Linked DNA regions of Danio rerio. The protein of the gene in region 1 interacts with the protein of each later gene in a pairwise test. Links are inferred from orthologs where the notes say so. Each region holds a gene or a part of one and is shown in the gene's direction. Other genes may lie near its edges.

Region 1 (3,830 bases):
CTGCAGTGTCTTTCTATGCGGTGCTTTCCCTGCGTTCTACATCTGAATATGTGTGAAAGACACTTGTCAGATCTTACTTTAGAGAGCAGGTGTGAGGTTCAGCTGTCTTCTCTGTGTCATTTTCTGACTGATTCAGGCACAAACTGATGGACAGTATTTACACAGCTGAGGCAAAGTGCGTGCTTGTAGAGGTGTGACGCTTTTCCTGTTGACGTGGAGCCGATACACGAATCACAGCACATTATATTAGCTGACCAATCAGAGCCTCTTGAGGGCGGCCCTTTTGGAGGAGCTAGGAAATATGACAGTTGTTTTCATTTTAGCTGAGTAGCTGTATATAATCAAATTAAGATATATGAAAAAGTAACGTGATTTTCTACAAATGAAGCATGAGCACACATTGCTTTGCATTTTTATAAATGCATCCAAGCCTTAAAAATACACTCTGGACCACCTCTTTAATAGAGATATTGGAACTTTAACACAAACTGAATGCTAAACTGAGTGAGTATAGCCTAAAACAACAAACAAAAAGCAGCTCCAAAAATATCCATCATTTACAGCTTTTAAATCCTTTAACAAACTGCAATCAATGTTTCTATTGTTTATGTGGCAGTAATTCTGCAAATGGTGGCATGTGTGCCACAGGTTTATAAACCCTGCGCTACAGAATTCTTTTGAAATCAAATGTTTATTTAAATATTAGTTTGAAGTAAAATGATATTCAATGTTGCAGTTACAGCTTTAGGTACGTTACCTACACTAATGAAATGAAGCGTATGCAGATCACTTTAGAAATGAAAAATATGTCGTAAGACTAAAATAAAATTCTACACTCAGTTAAATTTTTTGACATTAATGTCAACATTTTAGCAGCAAGATTTAAATCATAATCTACAATCTTTATTTAGTTAGCAAGCTTATTGAAAGCAGTAAAACAAAAACTGGACCTACCCCCCAATTTAAAACATCTAAGGTCACTTTGGTTTGTTTTATGATTTTTTTTTTAAGTGTTAACCAGACCCTCCAGGATTTTGTGATTCCAAAATCTCTGCAAACCTAAAATCAAGCAAATGCCAAAGTTTTGAGAGTTTGAAGTTTGAGAATTCCAGCCATGCCAGAGCGTCATCTGCTTAGTCATTCAAAACAAACTAGGTCACGTGAGTTATATCACTCACTAAACTTTTACATATTATGTATATATGCATCCTGTTGTCATAGGAGTAGCCCTCCTCTCTCTCTCTCTCTTACACACACACAATGTTAAATGGGTGTAGGTGGGGAACTCAGTCAGTCTGTATTTTTAGGGGGTAATATTTCCTCTGTCAGTTTTTTGGCAGATAGCTACACAAACTCTTTTGTTTTCCATCTTTTTCTAGGCTACATCCCTAGCGCTGGGATTCCCCTTCAGAAACAGCTGGAACATGCTAACCAGCAGTCCGGCTTCACAGACTCTGTAAGTGGAGATGGTCAGGAAGTGCATTTCTTTCAAACTACGTCAACTCAGTGGAGGGATTCAGCTGTGTTTGTGTAATTAAATTAAAGCATGATTCCCATTGATGTTTTCAGAGTCCCCTGAGGCCCATGCACCCACAGGCTCTTCATGTCAGCGCTGCGAGTTTGCTGTCCACTCCTCCTATTGCTGTGCAGATTCCTCCTGGCAAGGTCAGAGCCACAACCACCGCATGAAATCTGTATTGCCACAGTCTTGATTTTGCAGCATTGGAGATATTAGGCTTTGCTGTACTATAATTGTTTTAATGTAAAGATGATTAAAATGGATGCTTTGTATTGCTTTTGTGGCCTGTTCAACATTTAAAAAAACCTTTGCTCTGTTCTTTTTTATAGTCTGGCATATCTTATACACATTCGCAAAGGCCAGCATCTCCAGGTGCATTTTCCCATGGAACGCCCTCACAGCAAGCACATGCAGTAAGTTTCTTTATACTATATCTTGTATTTATGTATATTTATACACTACTGTTTATAGAATAAGTGAGGTATTTTGATTCAGCAAGGTCACAGCAAATGGTTAAAGAAATAATTTATTACTATTTTAAAAAAAGGTTCCATTTTAAAACTTAAATGTAATGAATAAAACTATTCCTATTCTGTTTAAACAGAATTTTAAGTATGCATTACTCCAGTTCTTGTTGTTTTTTTATGTTTCGATATACATATACCTCTCTTTTATTTACTTTTTTTTTTACTTTGCCCATTGTCTCTACACCTTGAAAATATTACCAACCTCACAAGTTTGAATGATAGTATGTATGATATCTGACTGAGAAAGTCTAAATGTATAGTTTTTTTTTAATGAACCAATAATTGCTGGAAGAATTTAGTATTCCAGTGATGTACAGAGCTGTGCAAAAGTTTTAGGCCACTAGTATTTCCACAAAAAAGGTTTAAAATCTACCTGAAAAACTATGGGCAAATGTTTTAAATGCAAAGTTTTGTCATGCTTTAGTAATTAAGTTAATTGATAAAATGTACTTATGCATTATTTTTTGAAAGCATCCTCATTTTACAGTATTTTCACACACATGTACTGTTTGTGAAAATCTTAGAGCAACTTAGAGATCTTGCCAAAGTTCTTCTGAACTCAGTTTCTCTTAGTTTGTTCTGTTTCTCTGGAAGCCATTTAAGACAGACTGGATAATGATCAGATCAGATCTCTGTGTGGAGCACTGACTCTTAGCAGACTCCTTGTGTAGTCAATATTCTCCATGTGTAAATACAATTCATGAAAACAATAATATTTGGAAATGGAAATTGATTTTTCAAACTGACAAAAATATAGAAACAAATGACTTCTAGTATTTTTACAAAAAAAAAAAAAAAAAAGTTTAACGTCAGTTATTTCTATATTTTTGTCAGTTTGAAAAATCTATTTCCATTTCCAAGTGGAAATAATGCATATACTTGAGACAACCACATTTTAAAGGTGGACGCATTAATATATTTTAGTAAATTAACCAAATTAACATTTGGTATGACAAAACTTTGCATTTAAAACACTTGATACACTTGCCCATAGTTTTTCAGGTAGCTTTATATTTCAAACTGACATGCGACAGAAAAATAAAGAAATAACCAACTTTAAACCTTTTTTTTTTTTTTGGTGAAAATACTAGTGGCCTAACACTTTTGCACAGCACTGTATGTATGTATGTATAAAGAAAGTGCAGTGCTTCCCACACAAACTTTACTTGAGCGGCTGCCCAGGTATAACTAGTGACACATATTTTTTTTACTATTATTATGATCTTTTTATACGTTTTTTTTTTTTTTTTTTTGTATCTGCGCAACATAACCAAACATCTGCGATCAATTAAGTACTGGAAAATCTTCTTCACTTGCGTGAACTGTCAACACTCCCACAGACAGTCTCACGTGCTCTGCAGACCCATAAAGACGCACCTTTTTGGCACTTAAATTCGTCTAAATCTCCTAAAATGTCCAGGATTCATCTTTTGATTTGGCTTTTGAAAACTTGTATGCCTTTTTGCATTAACTTCTAACTTAAGCCTACTTTCGCTTGGCTTGTCGTGAGAGAAACATTAAATAATTTATTTTTAAAAGTCTAAGCGACTCAGAAAAACTTTCCTATAGACTCAAAGAGGATGAAATGACTGCTCTAATCTGGCTGCAAAATATATGAACACCTTTAGTAATGATTAATCAACACATTTGGTTAATCTACATATTTTAATCTTGTCATTTTGATTATTTTTAGAGTATTGTCTGTTTTTATTCCCTTTTCTGTCATTTATTTCTCATTTATTTTATGTTAATCTATTACATAGGCTATTCTATATACATATCTA
Region 2 (3,830 bases), on another chromosome or scaffold:
TCTAAATACTGTCTTAATTTTCTCCTAAAATGGATTTTTTTTTCAAGCTCCTGTGTATGTTCAGTAAAGTCAGTTATATGGCAAATAATATGTTCTTTACGTTGCATTTAAAGTGCAACAACTGAACACAAACATAGGATCCTGAGTTAAATGTCATTTTAGAAGTTTTCAGACGGCATTTTTTTTGCATCTGAACTCTTCATTTGTTTTAATATTTTCTTTTTATTCAGTTCATAATTTTTTTAATTTATAAATGATTGAAATGTCTTTTTATTATCAACAAAAAAATCATTTTATGCATTTTAGTGCTTTGTGTATAGTCACCCAGATTATTATTATTTTTTGTTTTATCACATATTGATGTTAAAAATCTTATCTAAATTATAAGTAGTATCTGTTTGTGGTTTTTAATTATATTTATTAATGAAATGTTTTTGCGATGAAAATAGTGGTTGTTGCTGACATGGAATTAAACAAAAATGTATGATACAATATAAATATAAACATGTTAATGTATAAATAAGTTTTTTTTTCTTCCAGTTGATAGGCAAAGGAATGCTTCTCATTATATGATGGAAACGAAACGTGTTATTCAATAATATGAATAATAATGAACATGCAGTGATGCATCTCAAACAAACACATTGCATGTTTTTATTTAGATTATATACATGCGCTACAGATGAATTGGGTAAACTAAATTGGCCGTAGTGTATGCGTGTGAATGAGTGTATGTGGATGTTTGCCAGTACTGGGTTGCAGCTGGAAGGGCATCCGCTGTGTAAAACATATGCTGGATAAGTTGATGGTTCATTCTGCTGTGGTCGACTCCTGATAAATAAAGAGACTAAGGGTGCTTTCACACCTGTGAATCGATTCAGTTGTTCCGAAACAGAGATTACAAATGTTACATTGTTGCTCTTTGCTCTTGGAGCGGTTCGCTTTTAAACTGCAAAGTTTCTAATCGGACCAAAATAGCTAAAACAAGTCACGTGTGAGTAAACTCTTCTCACATTGGTCAGAGTGTCAGGGTTTATTTTGCAGCGTCCCGCTCAGCTGTCAGGAGAGGTGGTGGTTTGGTGGTGATTGACAGGGTGTGTGCGCGATGTGTCTGAGGAGAGACGGGGTGGGGAGGGGTGAGAAGGGTGCGTGACGATGCCTATTTGAGGACCGGGAGGGAGACGCGAGATTACCGGGAGATCATCACTCGTTTGCGGGTATCCGGAGACTCGCGAAACTTCCCGCCATACTCATAATTCTCTCTTCATATGGCCGTAAGCCTATTACATATCCATAAAACACTGTGATATAACCGCGCTCGGATCGGATCGCTTTCTCACTGTAATCGAACCGATCCAGGGTTCGTTTCAATCGAGCAGAGACCACCTCATTCAAGCGATCTCGGGGCGATTACTTTGGCGCGGAACAGAGCTCGATTACCCTGTTCACAAACGAACCGCGCTAACTGGGCAAACGAGACACGTTCCGAAACAAAAGTGTAGGTGTGAAAGCACCCTAAGCCAAAGGAAAATGAACGAATGAATGAATGAATGAATGAATGAAAATTACTTTTTGTTTCCAGGTTTGACTGCAAATAAGTTGCCTAAAACATAGTCATAATTAAATTGGATTTGTTTATTCATCAGCCTACTCTGCTTATGCATGAACCCAAACAGTGGAAATGTTAAATCCCATTTAGCTGAGTTTCCTTTCTTTCTGTGTATTGAATACTTCCACTGTTTTCCAGAGAGTGCCTTGCAGACCTTGAGAGAAAAAGGCCAAGCGCTGCTTGACCAGATGTCCAACCAGACATCTTTTTCCTACGGCAAGGAAGTAGGGGTTGAGAACAAGGAGAATATCGACCACATTCACAGCGTCATGGAGGACATGCAGCTCCGCAAACAGAGGTTCCTATTACATTTTTACCATCATGAATATGATGCTTACTCAAAGAACAAAAAACAAAGTGGCTGAGATGTTAACCTGTGTTTTCCAGGTGTGAGGATATGGTTGATGTCAGGAGACTGAAGATGCTGCAGATGGTTCAGCTCTTCAAGTGTGAGGAAGATGCTTCACAGGTCAGACAATGACATTCATGTGGACTAGGGCTGCACTATATCGGGAAAAATAGTTTTATTTAAATTTATTTTAAAAAAATCACTTTTCTGCAATAATATATTTTTTGTTAAAAACAGTTTTAATAGATTTCTCATGCTGTGTTCACACCAGACGCGGAACGCATGGATAAATCACGATATTGAATTTACTCGTTTCATTCTCGCGTCAAACCCCGCTTCATTCACACGTGAAATTTGCTTCATTCGCGTGAAGGGCAGGGCTTCTGTCTGCCCGGTGACTGTAGCTTCGTTGCTAAAAGGCTAACATGGATTTTATGAACAAAATAACATTGTTCATGTACTTTATGAAGGCTGAAAAACACCGTCGATACGTTTAGGACCGTGTCTTAGTCCACTACATGCTTTCAGAGGTGCATCCAGCTGTGTGAGCTCATAAACTCCTCCAGAAACTGAACCTGGATCACGGAGGCTTTAACCGGTGCTTCTGACTGAGCCAAGCCCAGTTTGATGACTTGTTGTCGGTGTCGCCTGGAGGATTTCCCCCGGGAAACCATCAACAAGTTCTACGTCACAATCACGCCCCCACAAAAGCAAGCTTCTGATTGGTTAACGCGGCGTGACTGTCCACTGAAGTTCAGATTTTCGAACTCGAGAAATTCACGCGTTAAGCGTGTCAAACGCGCAAAATGCTCAATTCGCCCCGTGCCATTCGTGCATATCGCTCTATTCGCACCACGCCATTCGCGCAATTTGCGTAATTCGTGCCATGCCATTCACACGTATCGCGCCACAGGATGTCTATTCGCGCATTTGCAATAACTTAACATGTAAATCACTTGCGCTTGACGCGAGTTCTGCGTCTGGTGTGAAAGCAGCATTACACCTTTTTTTAAAGAATTTATACTTTTAGGTTGATTAGGATTATTCTGCATAATACATAATAATTAAATTACAGGACGATGCAAAAGAGCAAAGATGCAACTGAAATGAAGAGTGCTTTTCTGTTTTTCTGAGAAGTAGAAGAGTAGTGCTTTTAAAAAATGCTATGCAAGTGATAAATGTTTACTACATTATGGATGAACTTTGCAATGACAAACTATTGTACCTGATCAACTAGAATCACAACTGGTCATTGCATATTCTCTGACTATTGTGGATGTCTACATTGGGGTATTTATGCAGATGTTTTTTTGCAGCCCTAATGTGAACAGACTCACTGAGGTGTCTCTGTAGTTTCTGTAAGTGGTGTTTGGTGTTTTCATAGGCAGTAGAGTGGTTGGGAGAGTTGCTCGATGCTTTGTTGAAGACCCACATCCGACTGGGAGATGATTCACAAGAAACCAAAGTGCTGCTGGAGAAACACAAGAAGTTTGTGGATGTTGCACAGGTATTGGATGCTCAATTATACTGAATGTTAATTGAAACACAGAGTAATATTAAAACAGAATAGACTGAATAAATTCCTGACTAAAATGTAATAAATTCATTCTTGTTGTTTTGTGAAGCATGGGTAGGCCCCACTGTCCACAGACTTTTAGCCCGTAATTAAGTCTATGTATTTACTTGTAAATGTGTTTACATTTATATTTATTTCGTTTTTAAATTCATTTCACTAATATTATTTTGATATTATCTAAATAATAATATTAAAGTGTACATATGATTTATGTACAATACAGTTTGTAAAGTAATATGTTCTGTCTTTTTGTTGATCTATCAAATGAGAGGCTTTGTTTACCAAATAAGTGGATC

What was found.
Region 2: the proteins of gps2 (region 1) and sestd1 interact in binary tests that used the Homo sapiens proteins (3 or more experiments, as listed by UniProt). The two-hybrid records come from large-scale screens. The link is inferred for Danio rerio from reciprocal best matches to the Homo sapiens genes GPS2 and SESTD1.

Annotation. Positions count from the first base shown.
Region 1 is NC_133180.1:24,725,975-24,729,804, forward strand, and holds part of gps2 (G protein pathway suppressor 2), read left to right. Parts: intron 1-1,379; coding exon 1,380-1,456; intron 1,457-1,569; coding exon 1,570-1,665; intron 1,666-1,848; coding exon 1,849-1,932; intron 1,933-3,830. UniProt on the Homo sapiens protein: Key regulator of inflammation, lipid metabolism and mitochondrion homeostasis that acts by inhibiting the activity of the ubiquitin-conjugating enzyme UBE2N/Ubc13, thereby inhibiting 'Lys-63'-linked ubiquitination.
Region 2 is NC_133184.1:44,888,494-44,892,323, reverse strand, and holds part of sestd1 (SEC14 domain and spectrin repeat-containing protein 1), read left to right. Parts: intron 1-1,699; exon of another isoform or gene 1,700-1,747; coding exon 1,748-1,907; intron 1,908-1,996; coding exon 1,997-2,078; intron 2,079-3,342; coding exon 3,343-3,465; intron 3,466-3,830. UniProt on the Homo sapiens protein: May act as the primary docking protein directing membrane turnover and assembly of the transient receptor potential channels TRPC4 and TRPC5.